Linked DNA regions of Macaca mulatta. The protein of the gene in region 6 binds, or shares a complex with, the protein of the main gene of each other region. Links are inferred from orthologs where the notes say so. Each region holds a gene or a part of one and is shown on either strand. Other genes may lie near its edges.

Evidence for each region.
Region 1: the proteins of SNAP25 (region 6) and RPH3A are in contact, whole or in part, in a crystal structure (PDB 5LOW), measured with the Rattus norvegicus proteins. The link is inferred for Macaca mulatta from reciprocal best matches to the Homo sapiens genes SNAP25 and RPH3A. Residues at the interface, in NP_112253.1 of Rattus norvegicus: Glu38, Asp41, Ile44, Arg45, Leu47, Val48, Met49, Asp51, Glu52, Glu55; in NP_598202.2 of Rattus norvegicus: His617, Ser618, Ala621, Ile648, Ser649, Ala650, Lys651, Gly652, Leu655, Tyr659, Leu662, Lys663, Lys665.
Region 2: the proteins of SNAP25 (region 6) and VAMP2 are in contact, whole or in part, in a crystal structure (PDB 1SFC), measured with the Rattus norvegicus proteins. The link is inferred for Macaca mulatta from reciprocal best matches to the Homo sapiens genes SNAP25 and VAMP2. Residues at the interface, in NP_112253.1 of Rattus norvegicus: Gly131, Gly132, Phe133, Ile134, Arg135, Arg136, Asn139, Leu150, Glu151, Ser154, Ile157, Gly158, Leu160, Arg161, Ala164, Leu165, Met167, Gly168, Ile171, Asp172, Gln174, Asn175, Ile178, Asp179, Ile181, Met182, Ala185, Asp186, Asn188, Lys189; in NP_036795.1 of Rattus norvegicus: Asn25, Thr27, Ser28, Asn29, Arg30, Arg31, Leu32, Thr35, Gln38, Val39, Glu41, Val42, Ile45, Met46, Asn49, Lys52, Val53, Glu55, Arg56, Lys59, Leu60, Glu62, Leu63, Arg66, Ala69, Leu70, Gly73, Ala74, Gln76, Phe77.
Region 3: the proteins of SNAP25 (region 6) and VAMP3 are in contact, whole or in part, in a crystal structure (PDB 5KJ8), measured with the Rattus norvegicus proteins. The link is inferred for Macaca mulatta from reciprocal best matches to the Homo sapiens genes SNAP25 and VAMP3. Residues at the interface, in NP_112253.1 of Rattus norvegicus: Asp147, Leu150, Glu151, Val153, Ser154, Ile157, Leu160, Arg161, Ala164, Leu165, Met167, Gly168, Ile171, Asp172, Gln174, Asn175, Ile178, Asp179, Ile181, Met182, Ala185, Asp186, Asn188, Lys189, Ile192, Ala195, Asn196, Ala199, Thr200, Met202; in NP_476438.1 of Rattus norvegicus: Ser15, Arg18, Leu19, Gln21, Thr22, Gln25, Val26, Glu28, Val29, Ile32, Met33, Asn36, Lys39, Val40, Glu42, Arg43, Lys46, Leu47, Glu49, Leu50, Arg53, Ala56, Leu57, Gly60, Ala61, Gln63, Phe64, Ser67, Leu71, Lys74.
Region 4: the proteins of SNAP25 (region 6) and NAPA are in contact, whole or in part, in a cryo-EM structure (PDB 6MDM), measured with the Rattus norvegicus proteins. The link is inferred for Macaca mulatta from reciprocal best matches to the Homo sapiens genes SNAP25 and NAPA. Residues at the interface, in NP_112253.1 of Rattus norvegicus: Glu37, Lys40, Asp41, Ile44, Arg45, Leu47, Asp51, Glu52, Glu55, Gln56, Arg59, Glu62, Gln152, Asn159, Met163, Asp166, Glu170, Thr173; in NP_542152.1 of Rattus norvegicus: Lys122, Glu155, Glu156, Ser157, Asn158, Ser159, Ser160, Asn162, Pro196, Leu197, Leu198, Tyr200, Ser201, Lys203, Asp204, Ala234, Phe235, Ser236, Arg239, Ser268, Ile269, Ser270.
Region 5: the proteins of SNAP25 (region 6) and SYT1 are in contact, whole or in part, in a crystal structure (PDB 5KJ8), measured with the Rattus norvegicus proteins. The link is inferred for Macaca mulatta from reciprocal best matches to the Homo sapiens genes SNAP25 and SYT1. Residues at the interface, in NP_112253.1 of Rattus norvegicus: Lys40, Asp41, Ile44, Leu47, Val48, Asp51, Glu52, Glu55, Gln56, Arg59; in NP_001028852.2 of Rattus norvegicus: Cys277, Arg281, Lys288, Val292, Leu294, Glu295, Asn336, Tyr338, Asn340, Arg398, Arg399, Pro400, Ala402, Trp404.

The regions. Positions count from the first base shown.
Region 1 is NC_133416.1:120,035,655-120,039,951, reverse strand, and holds the start of RPH3A (rabphilin-3A), read right to left. Parts: upstream 2,801-4,297; 5' UTR 2,512-2,800; intron 2,382-2,511; 5' UTR 2,261-2,381; intron 1-2,260. UniProt on the Homo sapiens protein: Plays an essential role in docking and fusion steps of regulated exocytosis.
Region 2 is NC_133421.1:9,677,680-9,681,802, forward strand, and holds the start of VAMP2 (vesicle-associated membrane protein 2), read right to left. Parts: upstream 2,801-4,123; 5' UTR 2,700-2,800; coding exon 2,698-2,699; exon of another isoform or gene 2,265-2,697; coding exon of another isoform or gene 2,257-2,264; intron 2,183-2,256; coding exon 2,062-2,182; intron 1,579-2,061; coding exon 1,420-1,578; intron 1,337-1,419; coding exon 1,285-1,336; intron 677-1,284; coding exon 660-676; 3' UTR 1-659. UniProt on the Homo sapiens protein: Involved in the targeting and/or fusion of transport vesicles to their target membrane. Major SNARE protein of synaptic vesicles which mediates fusion of synaptic vesicles to release neurotransmitters.
Region 3 is NC_133406.1:233,015,685-233,019,184, forward strand, and holds part of VAMP3 (vesicle-associated membrane protein 3), read right to left. Parts: intron 868-3,500; coding exon 709-867; intron 1-708. UniProt on the Homo sapiens protein: SNARE involved in vesicular transport from the late endosomes to the trans-Golgi network.
Region 4 is NC_133424.1:60,010,145-60,014,396, forward strand, and holds the start of NAPA (alpha-soluble NSF attachment protein), read right to left. Parts: upstream 2,801-4,252; 5' UTR 2,673-2,800; coding exon 2,575-2,672; intron 1-2,574. UniProt on the Homo sapiens protein: Required for vesicular transport between the endoplasmic reticulum and the Golgi apparatus. Together with GNA12 promotes CDH5 localization to plasma membrane.
Region 5 is NC_133416.1:86,055,938-86,060,210, reverse strand, and holds the start of SYT1 (synaptotagmin-1), read right to left. Parts: upstream 2,801-4,273; 5' UTR 2,447-2,800; intron 1-2,446. UniProt on the Homo sapiens protein: Calcium sensor that participates in triggering neurotransmitter release at the synapse. May have a regulatory role in the membrane interactions during trafficking of synaptic vesicles at the active zone of the synapse.
Region 6 is NC_133415.1:73,737,030-73,740,529, forward strand, and holds part of SNAP25 (synaptosomal-associated protein 25), read right to left. Parts: intron 3,421-3,500; coding exon of another isoform or gene 3,303-3,420; intron 3,136-3,302; coding exon 3,018-3,135; intron 1-3,017.

The DNA.
Region 1 (4,297 bases), on a different chromosome or scaffold from region 6:
CATAAATAAAGCAGACCCCTTTCCAGCTGAGCTCAGGATTCTAGAAATCTGGCAAAGTTCTCACAAGAGACTCCCCTATCCCCATTCACCCCAAACAGAGCCTCTCCCCGACACAGGATAAATTCTCAAGCACAGTGCTAACCGTTCCTAGAAATGTGGGCGTGTGCAGTCACTCACACTCACACACATACCTATCTCAGAGTCAGAGAACCCCAGAACTGGAAGGGGACTTAGGGCCACCCAGACAGACTGCCCCATGGCATAGACAGGGAAACCAAGGCCCAGAAAGGGGAGACAGCTGGGACTGGAACCCAGGTTTCCTGATCCAAGTCCAAAGCTCTTTCCAGAAGCTTCTGTTTCCCTCTCCCTGGTGCACAACAATGCACCACTTCAAATGTGACGGGGGAGGAGGGAGGGCGGCCTCTTGGATCTTGGCCAACCCTAAGGAAGTGAGGCAGTGGAGAGATATTTGGGAAGTGTCCACATCTGGGCACCCAAGTCTTAGCTATCCCAGCTGGGCTGGCATGTACCGATTGACTAAACCAGTTGTTAAAACTATTAAAACATTAAAATAAAATAAAAATATGAAAATATTAAAATTAAATGGGGAGGCTCCCCTGAGGCCTCCGTGGCTCTCTTGACAGCCCCCTAAGATCCCCCAAACCTCTCCATAATCTAGCAATTAAAAGATTAACACTGAGTACAGCAGGGCTCCCCTAAGATCCCCTATTCCAGGACCCTAGCCATTCTGATCAATTAGTACCAAATTTCAATACTTTAAATATCACCCATAGCCAGATCTGTGGTTCTTTATTCGAACAAAATTTCCATACATTCATTATTCACATTCAAGGCTTCCCAGTGAGGAATCTAAGGCAACTTCCTCCTCAAGGTCACCCAGCAAGGGAAACTAGGAAGAGAAGTTAGGGATTTTGAGTACCAAATCTTTGGCACTAACCACCGGACAACCCTCCCCTTCTGCCTCATATGTCCTGCCTGAGCAGGCACATGCTCTGGGATTTCAGCATCTCTTCTTGGCTATGGGGCTAGAGAAAAAAGGAGTGAGTGAACCCTGCTTATATTTCAGGCTTGCCAATCTCTGACTGTTGTTTTATTCCTCCCACCTCCAAGAGCAAGAATCTAAAAAGGAAATCCTTGGGGGTGCAGAACACTGAGTTGGCCCCTGAGATAATAGCAAAGATGCTGAAAATAAGGGCATTCATTTCCAGAAAAGTAGATGTAATCAAAGCAGAAAGCAAGGTGAAATCCCCTTTTGATGGGTCACAGATTAGCATCAAAGGCATTTCAAAATTAAATGTGAGCTTTTGGATTCAGTTTCAAGGTACTTCCACTTCCCACTCACTAACAGGTTGGTGCAGCCTTTCCCCATCAGGATCTTGGAAAAAGAAACTAGTGCAGGGGGATGGTCTACCCTGGAACAAAACTGAAGCTGGAACCTGGAATCTTTCCCCAGAATTTGAACAAGCTTTTTTCCCCTCCTTCCTTGTGAGACGAACTCAAGGATAGAATCTCCCAAGCTAGTGCCAGGATGCTTCCCCATACAATCACTTACAGGTTACGCCACCTGTGAAAATAAAATATCATCTCCTCTGCAGGCAGTGGCTGCTCCCTTCTGGCCAGTCTGACCACTCATCCTAAGCAGAGTGTGGCCCTTTCCTGGCTCCCACGTCTCCCATCTCAGGAAAGCAGGAACAGCCAACCTCGCAAAAACCATCACAATTAAATTATTCAGCTCTTCCTGGAATTGGGTACAATCTAAGCTCTGTCCTGTGCAAATCTTACCCAGTGTGCTCAGGCAAGAGTTACCCTTCCAGTCTCAGGTGACCCCCTCCCCTCCAGGGATAAGCACTCACTTGCTAAGTCAGAATACCCAGAGTTCCTCCATGCCAGACTAGCCACCCCCACAAAGGGTTAACTCTTTCAGAGAACTGCCGGCTACTTTCACCAGGTTCTGCTGCAAAGGAGAGGGCAAACTGGGCAGAAGCCACAATCTTGATCGCATTGCCTACAACATGAGCACATTTTACCCCCTCCCTGGGCACTAAGCCAAAATCTCATTTGGCTTTGGGATGCCGCTTAGGTGATAAAACACTGCAGAATGTAGGCAAATAAGCATAGTCGTTCCTCGATACCCTTCTCCTCCCAACTACCCTTTACCCCACCAGCTCATGCACACACATCACAATTGGGATTCTAATACCCCTAGCCCATCTGCACAACCAAGGAGAATATCACTTACCGCGACGCGGGAGGATTGCAGGGGGAAAGGGTGAACCAAATTCTTGCCAACTCCTCCCTTCCCTGCCGGGTAGGAAGACGCTAAGTCCCAATGACTTGGTTCAAAAGCTCAGCGGAGGTGCCTGAAAGAAAATTGTTCATTTGAGTCTCCTACTCTTCCCAAAATAAAATCAAAGCACCAGTGCACACACGCAGACACACAGACACATCAACTACCCCTAAATCATGCAGGACCAAGACAAAAAGAAATACCACTGCCAGAAGCGGAGAAAACTCGGACCAGCCAGTGAGTCAGTGGACAAGGGACAGTGGCTCCCTCAGACTGTCCTCCACATGGATGAAGGTTTTCGCTCTGTACGCCTCTCTCTCTCTCTCTCTCTCTCTCTCTCTCTCTCTCCCTCTCTCTCTCTTTCTCTCTTTCCCTTCTGCCTTCCTTTCCAGTCCGCGTAGGCAACTCCGGGCTGCTGGCAGTAGACGAATCAATTGCTTCCCCAGAGCCGGTTTCTGCCGCGGCTGCCACCACTACTGCAAAGCCCTGTGTGAGCAAGGCAACCGGGGCGGCAGCTTCCCAGTGCAGGGGGAACCGAGCGGGAACCAAGCCTGCCTCCCACCCGTGATTTATGTGTGCGGTGCCTGGAGAAAGAAAGGTGGGAGGCCGGGAGGGGAGGTTGGGCGCACCAGAGATCCCAGCTGGTCGAAACGGCAACCAGGGGATTGGCGGTCAGCACCACGGACAGCGCTAAGATGCGGTGGAGGACGAGATGGGCGGGAAGCGAACCCCTAGGCAGAGAAGTTAAGTAATTGGATGGTTAGAGCAGAGAAGGGGGAGTCCGGAGGGGTGGGGGACGGGACTTCTCGACATCACACAGTCTAGTCGGTGACAGCTTACCTACCACACACTTGTTCTAATACCGTCGCTCATTCTCAGAGCAAAGGAGCTATAACTTCGCAGCCCCTGTCTCCCACACGCCCCCAGTCCTGCATTGCTCCTCTCTGCTCAGACAAGAGTTTGGCCCCAGTGTACGGGGCTCCCTAAGTGGTTTTTCCCCTCAAAATTTTGCCCAGCTGACCTGTCCTCACCCCCATTGCTGCAGATTTCTGACCTATACCTGGAGTTTCTCAGAATTCGGGGCAGAAAAGCTGAGGCGTAAGAAACGGAAATTTCTAAGGGGCAGGATGGCTTAGTTGAATAAGCACTTGACAATCTTCTGGAAGCCAGATACAGCCCCCTTACAACCCTAGAAAAGTCATTTAATGTTTCCAAGTCCCATCTGTAAAAATGATAGTATAATGACCTCATTTTTCCTAAAGATAGGAAGCAAGAGGTTAAAATGCAACAATAAGAATACTCAAGCTGTGAACCACCATGATTTCATGATCCATAACCTGTCCTACAACACAAATGTTTGGACAGAGCAATAAAGGAATTGACAGCCCACCTAGGATGGCATGGGCCAACCTCACCCTTCAGCATGTGGTTTGAGTGGAATGAAGGGAAATTTTAAGTCTAAATCAGACCATTGAGCCTTGGCCAAAGACCCTTCCCTGAAAGATCCAGACTGGCTTTCTGAAATGAAATCGCTATACGGACAATGAAATAAAAGTATCAAAAGGGGAAATATGTAAAGAGGAATGGATTCCCATGGCTCCCAGTGCTCCAGCACTCAAGGGTCCTATTCCTGCTAACTTTGGGAAAGGGCTCATGTTGGAAAAAGGCCAGGAAATATCAAACAGAACAAGATCTGCTTAGAACTTCTCTGCAAAGTGAAGGAGAACTCTCTCTATTGGAGACTCACATCTAAAGCTTCCCATCCAGATGGCCCAGGGTTAACTACCACATTTGTCACTTACTTCTCCCCATGAGACACAGGAGTTAAAATGAAAACATTTAGAGCTTCATTTTAAAAACAATTTTTCAAGACAGTGTCTCTGAGTGGCTCACGCTTGTAATCCCAGCACTTTGGGAGGCTGAGGTGGGTGGATTACCTAAGGTCAGGAGTTCAAGATCAGCCTGGCCAATGTGATGAAACCCCACCTC
Region 2 (4,123 bases), on a different chromosome or scaffold from region 6:
AAAAAGAAACACCAGTTGAGAGAAGAGTGATGGAACAAAAAGAAATGGAAAGGGATGGCAGTATGTAATGATACGCTACTTAACATGCTGGACACTCCCAAAGACCTTGGGATTCTTAGGACCAAGTGGGGCCAGTCTCAGAGCCTCCCATTGGATGCAAACAAGATGCACCTAAGGAAGCCTGGACAGATGCTTTTTGTTTTTTGTGGTCTTTTTTGAGGGCGGGGCAGAGGGAGCATGACCGGGAGAGGGAGGAGGAAAGGAAGGCCAGGGTGGGGGGAAGGATCAGCTAAATCTGAGGGAAGAAGAAGGAGAGGAGAGGGACTATTGCATAGCAGATGCAAATGAAGGGACTTGGGGCTAGTCAGGAAGAAAGGGAAAGGGAAGGCAGGCAAGAGAGAGGAGGTGAAGGGAACCTCAGGAAGGGGTGTTAAGGACAACCAGAAAAATCTTCTAGTAATAAAACTACAAACAGACCAAATATATATAATATTATATATGTATAAATAACAGCTGGCTATTTACAGGGGGACACACACACGGACACACACACGCACGGATCCAGGGAAGGGGGGCTGAAAGATATGGCTGAGAGGTGGAGGAACGGCTGAGGGTGGGGGGAGAGGCCCTTCTTTAGGCAGGGCAGACTCCTCAGGGATTTAAGTGCTGAAGTAAACTGTGGAGAGAGGGGAAGAAGATGAGGAAGAGGGAGAGGGGAGAGAGAGAGGGAGAAAGAAAGAAAGCAGTGTGTCAGGCCTGGCCCTGCTCCAATCCTCCCCACTCCCCAGCTGGCTGGCACCCCTACCCCTCTCTTGGACTCAGTTTCTCCATCTACAAAGCAAGGGGTTAGACAGGTAGGTTATGAGGTCCCTTCAGTTCCATGGTATGGCCTTGAGGCCACATACCCTAATCCTCTGAGCCTGAGGCCACAAGCTCTCAAATAATGGGGTGGTTGGCTTCCTGGTCATGTCTCAAGCCCCTGGGCCTTTCCTTTCTCCCACTCCTCAATTCCAGGGCTCTCAGATTGGGCTCTTAGGCCCAAAGGGTCCTCAATGGATACACCAACTTTTATATTTCTAAATGTTAACAAAACTGCCAAGAACCAGGCAAAATGCAGGCTAAATAACATCAAAGTTTTTGGCTCTAGGTGAATCAGAATTGCCATTAGCAGCTATATGTGTTTTTGGCTGAAGAGTAAAAACTAGGTTAATGACCTTCAAAACCCAGAATCCACTGGGGAAACCTCTCCAGGGAAAGGGCCCCGGCCATTCCCAGCCTACTCACCTATGATGATGATGAGGATGATGGCGCAAATCACTCCCAAGATGATCATCATCTGGGGGTGAGAGGAGAGGATCAGCGAGACTAACTATGATACCCCATTCACCTGCCAGTCCTCCTTCCTGTCCCCATCCTTACCTTGAGGTTTTTCCACCAGTATTTGCGCTTGAGCTTGGCTGCACTTGTTTCAAACTGGGAGGCCCCTGCCTGGAGTGCATCTGCACGGTCGTCCAGCTCCGACAGCTTCTGGTCCCGCTCCAGGACCTTGTCCACGTTCACCCTCATGATGTCCACCACCTGGGAGAAGGGCCCACGGGGCAAGGGGGTGTGCCAAGGCCCACCTCATGAGGGCAATCCTCAAACATGTGCCCACCGTGCCACACATGGAACATGCACCCTGATGCTGCCAGGTTAACATGCCAAGGACACACACAGTACATGCCTAGCACACCTGGGGACATGCAAGGAGCACACATCAGGGGATTGCTGGTGACATCTCAGATATCATAGCAACACCCTCCCTCTATGGCGCCTCAGGCGCTCTGTCCATCACCAGAGCACACCTGCCTAGGCTGGCACACCCCAGGCTAGCAAAGCTGATTAACACCCCCAGCACCCTTCCAAGTGCGTGCTGACAGGGAGACACGGATGGGGCAAAGTATCTTTGTCCGCAAACCCACAGGCGTGAACTGTCATCACTCCCAAACCAACATGGGCCCCTACACCTAAACGCCAACCCCCAGGGTCCTTTCTACTGCTTTTGACTCCCCCCACACTCACCTCATCCACCTGGGCCTGGGTCTGCTGCAGTCTCCTGTTACTGGTGAGGTTTGGAGGGGGTGCAGGGGGGCCACCCTCCCCAGCCGGGGCGGCAGGGGGGGCCGTGGCAGCGGTAGCAGACCTGAGGAGCAGGGACGGATTAAGACCCAGGGCCTGCAGTCTCCCGGCCCTGCAGCCAGGGCTCCGCCCATCCACCTGTCCATCCTCGTCCCTCCAGTCCTCCTTTTCGGGAGGAAGGCCACCCGATGGAAGCCCTGGTCCAGGTCCAGCCTCGCCACCGATGAGCTGCGTGACCTTGAGCGAGGCCTCCCCTCCCCCCGGCCTCAGTTTCCCCGCCTGTCAAATGAGGGCGACCTCACAGATGTGATCGGGGTCGACCCGAAAAGACAGGCGGCCGCGGTGACAGGGGCGGGGCGCGGCAGGAGGACACAGGGTCCGCTCCTTCCCGCGGCCATCGCTCGAGCCGGCCAGCCCGAGACGCTGGGCTTCTCGGCCGCCCGCGCGCAGTCACCGGCTTGGGCCTGGCCCCGGGGCGCGGGGAACGCGGGAGAGACCCCGGGCACTCCCCACGGCCGGTTGCCAAGGGCGGCGGCCGGTGCAGGGAAGCGCGGTGAGGGTGGCGGGCGGCCGACTCACATGGCGGGGGCAGCGGGTGGAGGACTTGGCAGCAGCAGTGATGGCGGCGGCGACTCGCGCTGGCTCCGACTGGCGCTGGCTGCCCGGGACGGAAAGATGGCGGCCGCGCGTCACCCGCATCCGGGCACTGCGGGCGGGGGCGGGGCGCCGCGGGCGACGCGTCGGGAGCGGGGCCGCGGGGGCGGGGCGCTGCGGGACTGGGGTCGTGCCGGGCGGGACTGCGGGTCTGGCGCCACCGTGCCCCGGCAGCTCTCTGGGCACTCACGGGACCACCAGGCGGGTTGCTGCGGCTTCCCTAAACCCACCGTCACCCCGCCCTGTCTGAGCACAGCCTTCCACAGCCGCCCCCAAACCTCTTGCCACCTGCCCCTTAGGGCACACAGCAGCCTGGCCCCGCACCTAACCCCCAGACCACTCCCTGAATCGTGAACCCAATAAGCCAGCCTGCATCCCACACAGCCCAAGGTCTCGCCCCGCGCCCAGGTCCCAGCACCTAGCGACCCGCCTTCAGCACTGGGAATGGGCTGGGGTTGGGAAATCAGAGAGGGTCAGTACAGGCGCTGGGGCAATATCGAGAGCGGGGACCCTGCTGCTAGGGTGGAGGGGAGTGGAGGAGGTTGGTCTCAACCCATCACCCCGCTGGTGGATGTCTCAGAGGAAGCCTGCGATCCCAGGCCACTGGGTAGGAGGGTGGGAAGAAAAGATGAGGCAGGCTCTTCCCGCCGAAACAAGTCCAGGGGGTGGAGGACCGGGGAGTGTCTACAGGGTGTGAGGAGGGGGGTGCCCCGCCTCACGATTGAGGTTCAGACCAGGGGTACTTAACAGCTGGAGCAGGCCCGACTGAGGTGGGGTGAGCTGAAGACCCCGAGGAGGAGGGCACAAGGCAGCCGGGGCTGATGGGGGCAGGGGCTGCTTCACGTGGTGGCTGCTGACTGGCCAAGACCTAGCTTTGCCCCAGGCTTGGGTCAGCGACCCCAACTGCAGGAGAGGGCTCAGGCTTTGGTCCCAGGCACAGGGACCAAAAGGCTTTTTTCTCTCTCATTTTTTTTTCTTTAGTAGTAGGCACAGTGGGTACAGTTTACAAGGTGCTGCTTTACATGCGTATTCGCCTCGCAGGTGTGACCTTGGACAGTTGCCCTCCTCTCTCTGGACCCCAAATACATTGCATATGTAGATACTAAATCCATATTCGTTAAATGGCTTGATGTGGATAACATGGAAGATTATCCCTATCTCCATTAGGCCCTCTAAGCACACCCAGAGGCTGTGTACACTCCCACCCAGCTTGTCAGAGAAGATGGGACCAGGGGAGCTGTCGCTCTGGTGGAGTGCAGGGGATCAAAGCAAGCCTCAAGGGTACAGGAGGCATTTTAGGCGAGGCCCTTTGAACCTGGGGTGGGGGTGCTTACTACATCCCTGGAAGGTG
Region 3 (3,500 bases), on a different chromosome or scaffold from region 6:
CAGGTGCTTACAGTCTGGAAGAATTCATAATTTCTAAAGCCTAAATTAAATGTTCTCAATTAGGGCCTGAAGGTAACTTCCCTGCTTTTTAAAAGATGTTCAAATGATGTGTGGCCTCTAGCTAGGCATTTGTGTGTGTATACAAGTTTTCCACATATGGAAAGGCTGCTCAGCTTGCCCTGTGTCTCAAAGTGTCACTTGTAAACAAGGCAGAGGACAGGATACATCTGGATCTGGTCGCAGCACGCTGACTCACTGACTGTATAAAATCTGCTTTGGCTTGTGCTCCTGGGCGGGCTGCTTTCTACTCTTCTGTTGGGCACACTGTGGCTTTCTAGCATTTCTTTCCCTTGACCTTGGAACCATTCACAGAACTACACGAAAACTAACCAATTCCAGCCCTCTCCTATGTGTTTGGGGCCCTGCTGGGGTAGAGGGTTGGGAGGGGCTGATGACTGTGAGTGATTTTGGATATTCTTGTTCTACGTGCATCTTCTGAAGATCAGCCACAACACATAGAGGATTCCCAGGGTGAGGCTAGGAAAGGGTATGTAGTCAGTGTTTCAGATTCACAGTGGACCCACATTTCCATGTGGAGGAAATCAAACCCACCTCCCAGAGTCATGAAAGTCCATTATCTGTAGCCTGTTAATTCTCTGAGAATGGAGAAGGGGGCTTAAATGTAAAGGTGAGTTAAAAGATAATTACCTTGCAATTCTTCCACCAATATTTCCTCTTCAACTTGGCTGCACTCGTTTCAAATTGAGAAGCGCCTGCCTGCAGTGCATCTGCACGGTCGTCTAACTCAGAGAGCTTCTGGTCTCTTTCCAGAACCTTGTCCACATTAACTCGCATTATGTCCACCACCTAGATGAGTGTGATCACAACAAGTAATGCACAAAGAATGGAGGAATAGGGCCACGTGTGGTGGCTCACGCCTGTAATCCCAGCACTCTGGGAGGCCGAGACGGGTGGATCACCTGTGGTCAGGAGTTCGAGACCAACCTGGCCAACACGGCGAAACCCTGTCTCAGTACTAAGAGTATAAGAAAATTAGCCGGGCGTGGTGCTGGGTGCTTGTAATCCCAACTATTCAGGAGGCTGAGGCAGGAGACTCACTTGAACCCAGAGGGCGGAGGTTGCAGTGGGTGAGATTGCGCCATTGCACTTCGACCTGGGCGACAGAGTGAGACTCCGTCCCAAAAAAAATAGAGGCACAGAGACTTCAAAGACAATCTATGGGCACATTGTTCTTTCAGGTCAGCACTTTATTACTTTGAGCCAAACTTTCGCTTTAAAAAAAATGAGCTCACTCTTTCATCATCAAAACAATCAGCATATTAAGGATAGAAGGGAATTTCTTTAATATGATAAAGGGCATTTATGGGAAAATCCACAACTAATATCATGCTCAATGGTGAAAGACTTCCCCCCTAAGATCAGGAACGAGACAACGATGCTCACTTTCACACTGCCACTCAATACTGTACTGGAAGCTCTGAACAGAACAATTAGTCAAGAGAAAGAAAAGGCATCCAAATTGGAAAAAAAGAATAAACCTATCTGTATTTGCAGATGATTCTCTTTATATAAAAAATACCAAAGAATCCACAACAAACTGCTAGAGCTAACAAATACAGCAAAGTTGCAGGGTACAACAACACATAGCAATCAGTTGTGTTTCTATACACCAGCAACAAATAATCTGAGGTGGAAATTAAGGAAACAATTGTGTTTACAATAGCATCCAACAGAATAAAATACCTAGGAATAAATTTAACCAAAAGGCGAATGACTTGGACAATGAAAACTAGAAAACATTTATGGCCAATTGATTTTTGACAAGAGTGCGAAGGCCATCCAACAGTTTTTTCAATAAACAGTGCCGGGCCAACTGAAGAGCCAACATGCAAAAGAATGAAGTTGAATCCCTACCTCACCCTATATACAAAAAGTAACTCAAAAGGGATCAATAATCTAAGTGTAAGAGCTAAAGCCATAAAACTCTTAGAAGAAAACATAAGGGTAAATCTTCATTACTTTGGATTTGACTGTGGATTCTTAGATTTGATACTGAAATCAAGAACAACAAAAGGAAAAACAGATACACTGGACTTCATAAAAATTAAAAACTTTTGTGCATCAAAGAACATTATCAGGCCAGGTGCGGTGGCTCATGCCTATATTCCCAGCACTTTGGGAGCCCCAAGCAGGTGGATCACCTGAAGTCAGGAGTTCGAGACCAGCCTGACCAACATGGTGAACCACTGTCTCTACTAAAAATACAAAAAATTAGCTGGGCAAGGCGGTGGGTGCCTGTAATTCCAGCTACTCTGGGGGCTGAGGCAGGAGAATCACTTGAACCCGGGGCTTGGAGGCTGCACTGAGCTGAGACTGCACCACTGCACTCCAGCCTGGGTGACAGAGCAAGACTCTTGTCTCAAAAAAAAAAAAAGATAAAAATTAAAAAAGAACATTTTGAAGAACGTAAAAGACAAGCCACAGAATGGGAGAAAGTATTTGCAAATCACATGTCTACTAAAGAAAGATTTAATATCTAGAACACATAAAAAACTCTCACAACTCAAAAACAACCCAATTAAAAAATGGGCAAAGCCTGAACAGACATTTCTTTAAAGACATATAAATGGCCAATAAGCACATGAAAAGATGCTTACCATCACTAATCATTAGAGAAAGGCAAATGAAAACCCAAAGAGCTCAGTAGGATGGTTATAATCAAAATGGAAAACAAGTGTTGGCAAGGATGTGGAGAAACAGGAACTCTTGGACATTGCTGGTGGGAAAATAAAATGGTGTGGCTATTGTAGAAAACAATTTGGCAGTTCCTCGTAAAATTAAACATACAGTTACTATGACCTAGCAATGCTACTCCTAGGTATATATTCAAGATCAATGAAAGCATATGTCTAAACAAAATCTTTCCTGTGAATGTTTATAACAGCATTATTCATAATTGCTGAAAGATGTAAACAACTCAAAGACTCATTAACAAATGAATGGCTCAACACATTGTGTATACACATACAATGGAATATTACTCAACCATAAAAAGGAACATGGTACAACGCGTTACAACTTAAATGAATGCGAAAAACTTTGTGCTAAGTGAAAGAAGGCAGATGCCAAAGGCCACATACTGTATGATTCCTTTTATATGACATATCCAGAACAGGCAAATCCACAGAAAGAGAGAGCTGATTAGAGGTAACAAGGAAATGGGAGGAAGGGGAAATAGTGAATGATTACTAAATGGGTATGAAGTGTTCTAGGGTGATGAAAAAGTTTTGAAAATGGAAAGAGGTAACAGTTGCAAAATATTACGAATATACTAAATAACACTCAATTATATACACTTTAAAATGTTTAGTTGTATGTTATGGTAATTTCACCTCAATAAAAAACAACCCTCCTTAAAATTCCTTTGGTTAAAAAAAATTCCAATTTGATTTTGTAAGTCAACAGAAATTTCAGGCAGG
Region 4 (4,252 bases), on a different chromosome or scaffold from region 6:
ATCCCTGCTGCCTAGAGCACCCTCCCTGGCCCCACTCCCCAGCAAGTCCTGTGGTTCCTTGGGACCTAGCTCACTCCTCACCATGAGCTTCCCCCTGGTTCACACTGCTTCCTCTGAGCTCAGAGTCACAGGAATGATATAATCGAGCCCTTCCTTACAGTAGGTAATTCCACTTTACTAGCGTTTGCTGTGCATCCTGCCTTCCCAACCAGGTAGCAAGTGCCTTGGGGCTGACTTAGCTGCTCCCTCCAAGCACACAGTCCAACAGCCCACTAATCCCTGGGCCAAAGGGACCAGACACCCAGAGCCACCTAGGAAAACTATCACCAAAAATCCAGCTCGTGGCCCCACCCCCAAACACAGCACCTGAACTTCTCCCCTTGTGAAGAAAAAGAAAACACACACACACCCTCTGTCTCCTCGCAGCCTCTAAAATAAAATATTTTTCACCTAATCAATACAGTCCATCAGCCCCAGATGTTTCTCCACACCAGGCAATTCACCATCATGTTCTTCAAGTTCTTTTGCTAAACATTATCCAACCTCAAACAAGGGGCGTGGCCCAGAGCCCTTTTCCTGTTCCTTCCTCTCTTGGAAAGATCCCTCCCCTTTGTGTCTTACCAGCTTCTGCCAGGCTCCTACCCCAGTCTCTTCCCATCCCCAGGCCCTCCTCCCAAACCCCCTTCTCCAGCCTTCTGCAGACACTCCCAGTCCCACCAACTTCCCCAGGCTCTGCTTCTGAGGGGCCACCACAGACCGTTCTCTCTACAGGTCCACTAGTCCTTTCCCAGTCCTCCCCTCAGTTTCCACAGCCTCCCCTTGACCTTTTCGGGTCCCCCCATCAGCACAGATCCCACCCCCCCACACACCACCACCCCCTGCCAAACTCCCTTTACTTCCTCTGCCCAGAGCCTCATGCTCCTCTCAACCCTACTAAGTCTTCGTGGCTCCCTTTACTGCTCCCTTTCAGCTCCTCTTAGCACACCCATGTTTCTGTCTCTCCCTCTCCTGACCCCTCCCAGACCTCTCCTCTCGGGCGCCCACCTTGAACCCCATCAGCTCTCTGCACACTCCAAACCTGTTTCCTTCTGGGAAGTCACATTAACAATAGCTAACACTCTCAGAGATGTAACTCCACGCCAGGCTCAATTCTAACACTCACAGCAAATGGGAGGCAGGTTAGATTTGTGATCTCCTTTAACAGGGAGACTAAACCATTTACCCAAAGTCATGAAGTAAGTGGCAGAGCCACATTTCAAACCTGGGCTCTTAATACTTTTAAGCCACTAAAATTATCACAGGATGGTGGTGTCAGCTTTTAGGAGCTACCGTGAGTTTTATGCCATGTCACATGCGTTAGTTCTGTCTCCCAAGCCTTTTCCCATCCCTCTTCTCAGCATGTTCCTGTCATCCCCATTACTCGAGGATCACACAGCAGGAATTTGATCCCCAGTTTTGATTCTCTCAGTCCCCGTCTCTCCCTGTTATCCCTCCATCTCCTTGGCCAAGCCACCACCACGCGTTCCCCCACCCAGGAGTCTCCGGCCTCAACCCAGGCCTCCTCAGGTTTTTTTCTTTCCCTTTTTTTTTTTTTTTTTTGAAACGGAGTCCCACTCAGTTGCCAGGCTGTAGTGCAGTGCAGAGGCGTGATCTCGGCTCACTGCAACCTCCGCCTCCTGGGTTCAAGTGATTCTCCTGCCCCAGCCTCCCGAGTAGCTGGGATTACAGGCACCCGCCACCAGGCCCAGCTAATTTTTGTATTTTTAGTAGAGACGGGGTTTCACCATGTTGGTCAGGCTGGTCTCGAACTCCCGGCCTCAGATGATCTACTCACCTCGGCCTCCCAAAGGGCTGAGACCGCCACAGTCTTGACTCCATCATCCCGGTTCCTCCGCTCAGCTGTCCTTAAACTAGTCACTGCTAACCAGGGCCGTACTCACCCCAGGCACCCCCCACACTTCAGACGCAGCTCACTGCTCCTAGGATCATCTAAGCCCTGAGCCCCTCCAAAGGTGTCAGCCCCCTTCAGCCTTCACCCTCACTGCCCAGGGCCCACGCAAATCCACTGCCCCGGGGGATGAAAAGGTCAGTCCCTCGGGCAGGCGTCCTCAGCCCCAGGCCCCATCACTGCCGCCCGAGAGCCTTCACATTCCCCTAGAGCTCTGAAAAGCCTCCGGACCTGGCTTATCTCGCGGACTCCCTCCCTGCCCCCAAGCCGGTCCCCTCCACGGCTTCAGGACGTATTCCCTCGGTTCAGGTTCTCCCCCTCCCGCTGGCCTGTCTTCGGCCTGGGTCCCCTTCCTCGCCTCAAGACAGGGTCGCCTCTGTCCGTGTGTCCTCAGCCCAAATCCCTTCCGCCATGTCAGACCGTCTCTCCTCAAACCGTGTTGCCCCGGCCCAGGCTCTTGGCCCTCAGCCTGTGTAGCCTCTGCCGCTTCAGGCCAAGTCACCTCATTCCAGGTTCCTCTCCGTCCCCTCGGCCCGAGCTCTGCGTGCCCTAACCCGCCACCTCCGACCGTGACTCCTTCGTCCTCTCAGCCTAGGTCCCGGCCGACCCCTCAGCCCGGTTCTCACCCAAAGAGGCCAGAGAAGAAGGACTGCGAGTTCTTCACTTTGCGCTCCGCCTCGGCCAACAGCGCCATCGCCTCCGCTTCTTTCCCGGAATTGTCCATGGCGGCCACAAAAGGACTCAGCAAAGCGCCCGACACTGGCCCTGGGAAGACTCAGCCGCGGCCGGGCCGCGGAACACAGATCGGGAGAAGTCGCCCGGCTGCGTTGACGTCGCACCGGCGCGCGGCGCCTGCGGCCCGGAATCACGTGACTCGCGCTGGCCAACCAGAGGCCTCGTAGCGCGGCGCCCGCTCCGCCGGCCACGCCCCCACCAGCCGCCGCAAGCCGCCCGTGACTCGGGACCCCCCAATCGGCGTCCCGAGACCTCAACGCATGCGCACACACAGGACAACGACGCCCCACTTTCTCCTCAGCGCTCTGTACCTCACCTCCCACGTGACCCTGCGGAAGGCAATGGCAATACTCACCGCCGAGGCCCCGCCCCACGGTGTTGCCGCTGGATGCTCCTCCACCAATCAGCAGCAGCCCTCGGCTCGCGTTGTTAGGGGGGCCACCCCGCGCCCTCCCTGAAGTACTCCGGCAGAGTCAGCTGACCGCGGACACTCACGTGACAACTCGGGGCCCAAGCCCGGGTTTGACAGTTCTGCGCAGAGCTTAGTCCCGCCCCACGGCTGGTCTCGCCCGTTTCTTCACTTGGAAAAGCGTTTGTGGGAAAAGGAAACCGTTCTGCTTTTTCTTGCTCCCTCTACCGGCCAGTACTGGAACTGCTTTGGGGAGACCGGTGAAGTAGTTGAGAGACTGGAAACAAAAACTTAAGAGGTTCTCTAACTCTGGTTTCATAAAAAATAGATGAAGAGGGCCGGGCGTGGTGGCTCACGCCTGTAATCCCAGCACTTTGGGAGGCCGAGGCGGGCGGCTCACCTGAGGTCATGAGTTTGAGACCAGCCCGGCCAACATGGCGAAACCCCGCTCTACTAAAATACAAATATTAGCCGGGTGTGGTGGCTCACGCCCGTAATCCCAGCTACTCGGGAGTCTGAGGGAGGAGAATCGCTTGAACCGAGGAGGTGGAGGTTGCAGTGGGCCGAGATCGTGCCACTGCACTTCAGCCTGGGTGACAGAGTGAGACTTAGGAAAAAAAAAAAAGCTGAAGACAGCGTGTTAAAAAATTCAGATTCGAAGATGGGCGCGGTGTCTGGTGCCTGTAATCCCAGCTACTCGGGAGGCGGAGGCGGGAGGATCGCTTGGGCCCAGGAGTTTGAGTCCGGTTCAAGTCCCGCCTTGGGCAGCATAGCAAGACTCTGTCTCCAAAAAAAAAAAAAGTTAGGCCGGGCGCGGTGGCTCAAGCCTGTAATCCCAGCACTTTGGGAGGCCGAGGCGGGTGGATCACGAGGTCAGGAGATTGAGACTATCCTGGCTAACATGGTGAAACCCCGTCTCTACTAAAAATACAAAAAACTAGCCGGGCGTGGTGGCGGGCGCCTGTAGTCTCAGCTACTTGGGAGGCTGAGGCAGGAGAATGGCGTGAACCCGGGAGGCGGAGCTTGCAGTGAGCCGAGATCACGCCACTGCACTCCAGCCTGGGAGACACAGCGAGACTCCGTCTCAAAAAAAAAAAAAAAAAAAAAAAAAGTTCAGATTCAAACACACCTCCTGCTGCCCCAGAAAATTGAGTAGTTGG
Region 5 (4,273 bases), on a different chromosome or scaffold from region 6:
GGAGAAAAAAATAAAGACTGTATAAAATTGTGACATTAGACTGTTTTGTCGGATAACAGAACAAGAATTTCCTATAATGTATCATTTAAGGTCTCTCCACAATCCACTCACAATATATTGGAATTAGTTCTGATTTCCAATATATAGATATTGAATTTTTTAGAAGTATGTGAAAAACTACTGATATCCATCTTTTTAGATGTTATTTCTATAATTAACATTTGTAAAGAGTCATGAAAATAAATGTCACAAACCAAGCCTAAATTTTCACATATTCCTAAGACAGTGGAGAAATGAGACAACAAAATCTTATTTTTCTCACATGAAGTCAGCTGGCTTCCTTTTTGTACATCTTTTCGTGTCTAAACTTGTTAATTCAGTTGTACATACACATGAGGTAATTAAGTGATTGTTCCTTTGTCCTTGTAACCAAAAGGTGGCACCTCTAAAAACCAGAGTTAGCTTTCAACAGAGACAGTATTTTTTTTAAGTCATTTAAATGTCAAAGCCCTAGAAAGAGAATCCTTTTTCCTGACTTGGTAATTCTGCTTAGGTCGGAGGGATCATTGCCTCAAATGCAAAATGGTTTGGAAATAGTACACATTACGCTGATGGCAAATGAATCCAGCTCTTCTCTAAGTTGGTGTGTAAACTTATACATTAAAGATACATAGTGAAAAAATACTCTCTGAGATACAAATTAGTGTAGAAGGTCAGGCAGAGTTAGGATAGAAGATTCCCTTTTCTTATATCAAGTGGACTTCTAGAAAAAAAAAGTAAGACTGCATTTCCCCTTATACATAAAAATAAGTGTTTTGTATACTAACATCTGCTGATTTTTCTGTGTTCAGGTAAGACCCACTTGGAATGCTTTCCTATTACATCAAACGAGGCACTTCTCTATACCTCCTTCCATCTGACAGTACTATCGCTTCTCTGTCCCTGATGAATACTAAGAAAATAAAGCTTATATCCCCAATGATGGAATTAGAGACTGCTGAAGCTGCTGTAAAGGCTCTGTCCAACAAGTACCATTTACTTGACCTATTATGCAGGCAGCCAGGGGCATGTTGCTGTTTTGATATATTTTTCTTTCTTTTAACAAGACGTTACAAAAATGTTTTCCCCTTCAGGATTTTTAAAATTTAGGCTATCTTTCTAGCATTACTTTCTAAACTTTGTTCCAATACAGGAGGATTCTTGTCCAGCTGAGCCTCCATGTGCCTTCTAAAGGGAGTGCTGAAATTGTACAAACATCATGTTTACATCCATTAAATATCCTCCTATTAAAAGAAAATAAAGCCAGGCATAAGTTTGGTATCCAGACAATAAAATTCAAATAGATAGTAGAAAGGTAGAATAAAGTGAAAATTCATACACAAATGTAGCTTCCACACAAAAGTTAAACAGTTGCTTTATTTCACCAAAGGGTTAATACTGGAGAAAGTGAACATCAACATGTACACAAAGCTAACTAGAAGATTAGCTTTCTCAAAGTAGAAATCCAAGCCTCCCTATAAAACTGTTGTCCCTTGCAAATGTTTTGAAACTTTACATTTTTTGATCCCCCAACAACAGACCATACCAAGAAACCTCAGGAAAGTAATAATCTATTTTTAATTGTGTTTTTTTTCTTACTCAAGAAACCTTTCAAAGTTCAGATATTAACACTGATGTGCAATACCAAATTGTCAGTCCCACAGGACAGATGGAAACAGGAAAAGTCAGATGGTTGGCACTCAAAAGCAACAGCAATTAAGCAGTTGAAAGTGGGTTGGATTGTCGGTTTATTTTTGTTCCATTTGAACGAATCAAGTGAGAGACATAGTCTCTTGCAAGGAGGAAATCAAGTCAAACTTGACGCTTCCCCTCTCTGACAGCCCAAGCTGGTCGGCTTGTCTACTCCCCTTATTCAGTTTAATTGCTTTCTGTGCTCTGATTTTCGCAGAGATTGTATTCTATCTTGTTTACGCCCCAACCCACCCACCCCCATATCCCTCTCCCCAACAGAAAGAAATCTTTCTCCTTTCTTCACTCCCCCTCTTTCCTCTAAGAAAGGCAATCCTCTCCAGGAGGAGAAAGAAACCCTGTGCGTGCTTAGGGTGGGAGGAGGGCGAGAGGGGAGGTGTGGGAGAGAAAGAGAGAAAAGATTGAGATTGGGGGCGGGGGACAGAGGAGAGAGAACAAGAGAAGGAAAGAGGAAGCAAGAAGATGGGGGATGCCCAATATCAACTCCAAGCTCTAAATCACGGGCGCTGTGCAAAGTGCTTTTCCAGGAGATGCACATGTGGTCTCATATTTCTCACAATAGGCCACCCGGGGATCCCTCCCTAGGTCTCAGACTCCCACCACTAAAATCCAAGTGTATCGAGAAGAAAATCTTTGGGATGGATTCGAGCAGATAGGCACCGCCGAGGTGGCCGCGCCGCCAGTCCCGCTTCCTTACCTGGAGGGCGGACCGGGAGGTGGTGCCGGGTCTCAGTCCCCAGTGCTCTCCCGGCGTGGACCGGCGCGAGGCACACGCGTGCTCTCGCTGCCTCCGCTCTTGGAGGGGCAGCCTGCAACACAAAAGGGGTGTGTGGGTGTGGGTGTGTGGGAGGTTTTCCAGGGCCACCAGCTGGTCCCAGCTGGTCGCCCCCACCCTACACACACCCCTTCGGGGCGCCGAGCCCCCCTCTCGGCTGAGCACCACCCTGGGGGCTTGCCCGGGGTGCAGCCTCAAGTTGCCGCTGCTAACTGCTGCTGCCGCTGCCGCTGCTGCAGGAGGAGGTGGAAAGACACTGGGGGCAGTACTCGTTCTAAAGCATCCCCACACTGCAGCTTCTCCAGGAATCCCTCCAGTGAGGAGGCGGCCGCCCATCATCTCCCAGCCCTAGCATCCTGATTGGCTCCACCTCGGCTACGCTGCGCCAAGAAGCCAATCCCAGCACACTAATAATAGGTGGATCCGCTCAGCCAACATCTCCCATCCCAGTTCTGTTAGTGTCCCTCCATCCCCACAGCGGACAGGGACCTGGGAAGCGGGGTGGAGGCGGGTTGGGGGAGGGAGTGAAGTAAGAGGGGAACAGATGCCAAGGAGACACAATCAAGGGCATCCGATAAAACCTCTGGGTAGACTCAAGAATGCCCCAAAACCTGTTCAGCAAGCCATATGCACAGGAGAAAGAGAGCGAGCATAATACAAAGCTTTTTTTTTTTTTTTTTTTTTTTTTTACTTTCAATCAAAACCTGCCCTGATACTGAGCATGCCCAGACTGCAACAGCGACCTAGGAGTTTCGACGTGTGTGGGTTTGCCAGCTGTAGGTTTTTGAAAAGCTGGGACCCGGGATAGAAGAGGCAGAAGTTTGTCTTTGGCCATTTAACCCGGCGGAGTTGTGAAAGCTGGGCAGGGTGGGGACATGAAAGGGTTCTGCACAAGTGTCTTCAAACTGAGCCGCGGGGAGGTGGCCCGCCGGGCTGCTGGAGGTTCATCATGCTATTCTTCTGGGGTTCCGGGTTGGAAGCGGGGGCGGGATAAGCTGAGCTTTGCTGGAAGCCTGGAGACTTCCCGCGAAGGGTGTGGTGTTGCGAAGATGCAGGAGAAGCAGCTCCGTCCCATAGGTGGGGCCGGGAACGCGACTCCACCCATGAGCGGCGGCTGCCAGGCAGTGGAGAGTGCACTGGGAGTTTCCATTGCAGCGACCAATAAGTTTGTAGACTTGGGTCAAGTGCGGCATTGCTGGGGATGCTTTTTATTTTTATTTTTTGCCACCTCCCTCCCCCATCTCTCTCGACCCCTTACCAGAGCAGTGACGACTAAAGCACAAATCTCTCCCTGCTTCCTCTCTTCCCAGCTGAACCGTTCTGCTCGGAAGTAAGAAGCTTTTCCCTTGTGAGGGCGGTGGTGACCTGATTGTCTCTAAGCTCTCAGGCAATTTATAGCTTGGTAATACCGAGATACCAAACAGGAAGGCTCAGCGGGTGGGGGAAGGGACCGCGCGCCAGGCAAGGGGCGGGAGCGGAGCCCACCTGGGAGAGGGGCCCGTCCATTATCTGCTCCACAGGTGAAAGGCTTTCAAAACGCAGAGAACTATTTCTCTTTCTCACTCCCTCAACCTCGTTTAAAGGCCTTTGAACCTCTTATTTGTTTTACTTAGAAACCCTAGCATTTTGTGTAAACTTGATCAATAGCTACAAATGAGAACTCACCTAATTGGGTTCTTTATTTTACTGAGAAGATTATCTTGGCATCTCAGGTAGGGAAATAAATAGCTATCTCAATTCCCCAAACCC
Region 6 (3,500 bases):
CTTCCAAACAGTCACCATACATCCAGAGTTGATGTACAAACCTTTGTCCACAGAGACAAAAAGTAAAAGAAGCATAGTGAAATGAATGCAGGAAAATAGAAGAGAGAACAAGCCATCTAGCACCAAAAAGGGAAACCCCTCTATGTCTTCTTCATGCACCAGCTACAGGCATGAGTAAAAAGTGAAGCATTCTCATTTAAGCCAAACTACTCCAGAAGTTGACCATTCTCGAAAAAGGCACTAGCAGGACAGTAATAGCCTTCATGAGGATTTGAAACGCAGGTTCGGTAGCTTCTTTGCTGGGCTGAGGGGCAGGGTGGAGAGTGCTTACAAACTGCTACTTTAAACTATCCTGGTGTTGTAATGGAGGAGAGTGGTTTAATGCTGGTATGGTCTCCATGGGCTGTATTGCACTGAGCTGCCTTGGAGAAAAACTTACAAATCCAGGCATACCTATTGTGCCCAATAGAAACATGTGCAGCATATTTTGGTGGGTGTTGTAATTAAAGGCAATCAAAGATGTTTTTAGGTTCTTTACATAGTAGAAACCACATGCTTTTTAGTCCAAAAACAAGAGACATTCTTTGGTCCCATTTTCACATTTTCTTGTGTAAGACACCAGAATTTAACATTTTATTTTCTTCTTTCACCAGAGGACCACAGCCATCTATTAAAACTGGCTCTAATATTTGCAGACTGGGGACCAAGCAACCCTAGAGACAAACTGGAAAATTGTACCAATAGAATTTCAGCAACTCCCACAATCAAGCCGCAGGCCTTAGTGCAGTCAAAATTTATTGCACCAAAGGGCCATGGACCCATTCAATGAAACAAGATCCCCAAACTAAATTTAATAGGGCTTAGAGTCTGGCTTTTTTAATTGTTATTTTTCCAACTCCCCATCTCCTCCCTCCTCAGATGAAAAAAAGTTATATGGACTTCGTGATGTTTTCTGCTATGTCAAATGTCTGCTATACCATCTTTGGCAAAGTCAAATGAGTGGGAAGTATGCGTTTCTGAAAGAAGGCAAACCACTGCACCCACAATGCTGCACATAGACTCACATCACTGCCGTACATCTACCATAGTCCCTTGAAACATGCCGAGACAGGGCGAAGCCCTCAGAGAGTCCAGGGCACCACCAGCCACTGCGTTGTGACACATGGTTTTTAAAGCATTATTTACACACAATAGGGAACACCTCAGTCAAGCTTTGAAGCTTAGTTTAGGGTCTCTTGTGCATTAAGGAAATTAGTGATCACTCAAATGTGGAATTCGTAGGAGCCATCATTTCATTAGAACATTAGAATCCATCCCAGGGGAACCTGCCTCCACCCTTTCTTCACACACAGTTGATGAAGGGGGGAAAATGTGTCTGTTGGAATTTATCACGAAATGGATGGAAATCTCACCTGGGGGCAAGTTGCCACGGAAAGGAATATACAGTCAAATCTTGACTAACTGGAATGCTTGGTAATGAGGTTTTTGTTTTGTTTTGTTTTGATGAATTATATGACTTTCTTAATGAACAGTGGGGCCAAGGAGGAAAGTTTTGTTTCATGGGTGATGAGTGAATATCTTTGCTAGACTTCTGAGCCACTTTCCTGCCTGAAAGTCTTAAGGTAGAAGACCTGATTGAATCTTTCCTTGGTTATCATTTATATTGATTGCTTGATGGCCTTTTCTGTGAAGATCAACTCTTATTGTTTGGTCGTCATAGATGTGGAAGTTGCAGGAGGATGGAGACTAAGCAAGACAATTCGAACTACCCTGGAAGTAAAACCATTTTACATTTCTGATGTGAGGTTTTCTCTTTGTTTCTTTTTTGCTAAAAATGGAAGGGAGCAAGAGCATGCAGCTGAGGTTTCCAGTTAGCTAGATTCCAGTTAATCAGGCTTTACTGTAGATCATTCTTTAAAAAGCAAATTATTATTTTTTTTTTTTTTGCAATTTGAGCCCCTCCCCCTCCTAAACAGGAAGTGGGATATTTTAAATCAGCCTCAAAGTTTAAAGGATGTGAATGGTCATATAATCTGCTAAAAATGACGTCAATTTCTATTCTAAAAGCTAGGATCAGGAGAGCTTTTAGGAAAAAGTCTTCTTTTAAAAGGGGGATGTGGGAGGGGTGAGGGAGATTGGATAAGGAGTCTAATTTTCCAAATGCATGTTGGACAATCCACTCATGCATTTCTTTTTCCACCACTAGTCAAATGAGACAATCTTCCAGAACCCTCAGTATTAGGTTCCTTCCGTTGCAAACCTTTATAACCACATGTCACATTTCTGCTACATTCCAAAAAAGCGTTGCAGAACCTTGAGAACAGTTGAATGTTTTGTGATGTTGTGCATGCAAAATCTACACATTTCAACATTTCAGCCAGTGTACGGGTAGATCTTCCAAGGAGAAAAATTTGGGAGGGATGGGTCCAATTTGAGTAAGGCTTGAACACTTCTTGCTGAAGAGCTCATTGCCTCTGTGTTGGGTACAGCAGCAGCATCTATCGACCAAATTTGGCAACTGGTGGGCAGTAGAAAGGGAGAATCTCTGTCATATTCTCTAATTTATAGAATGCTTCCCTGGGCCAAATTACCTGTCTCTTTTATTTTGGAAAAAATCAAACCTTCACATATGTGTTTCTCATCTTCCAAACTTACCCACAGCCTTTTCTAAACCTGCAATTTTGACTCTTGGGGTTGGGGAAAAGGAAGTTCCCTGGGTGCCTCTTTCTTGAGGCTAGCCTCTGTCTCAAGGTACACTTTCCGGAAAATGTTGAAACGTTCATCAATAAAAGTTGCTGACAGTGAAGCTTTCACTGTAGTATGCCTGATTTTTAATGCATCAACAGTAACTCCTGCTAATATCATCTATGCTATGAGATGAATGCATTGGAGACGGTATTGATCTGTTCTGCATGCCACATGCTCATCCTGCCTATGAGCTTGGCAGGAATGAGCTTGTCAAGGCTTGGAGATGGGCCTTGGGAAACCAAAGCTTCAGGCAGGCAGGCAGCACCTACTTGTTACAGGGACACACACAAAGCCCGCAGAATTTTCCTAGGTCCGTCAAATTCTTTTCTGCTTCTTTCATGTCCTTATTGATTTGGTCCATCCCTTCCTCAATGCGTTCCAGTTGTTCTGATTAAACACAAGTATTTTATCCCCACAGAATGAAGCAGATGGAAAAGGACAAAGAAAAAAAAGACAAAACTTCAGACATTCACTTTGACATTAAAAAAGAAAAAAAAAAAAAAGAAAGAAAGAAAACTGGACGCCACAGATTAGAGCTGGTACCCAGTACCTACTTGTTACAAGGACATATGAAAAGGCCACAGCATTTCCCTAAATCTTTTAAATTTTTCTCAGCCTCCTTCATGTCTTGGTTGATATGGTTCATGCCTTCTTCGACACGATCGAGTTGTTCTGGTTAGGACAAAGGGATGACAGTGTGGAATGAATTTTTTGGGGGTCTCCAACAGAACATGAGAAATGACTATGTGAAA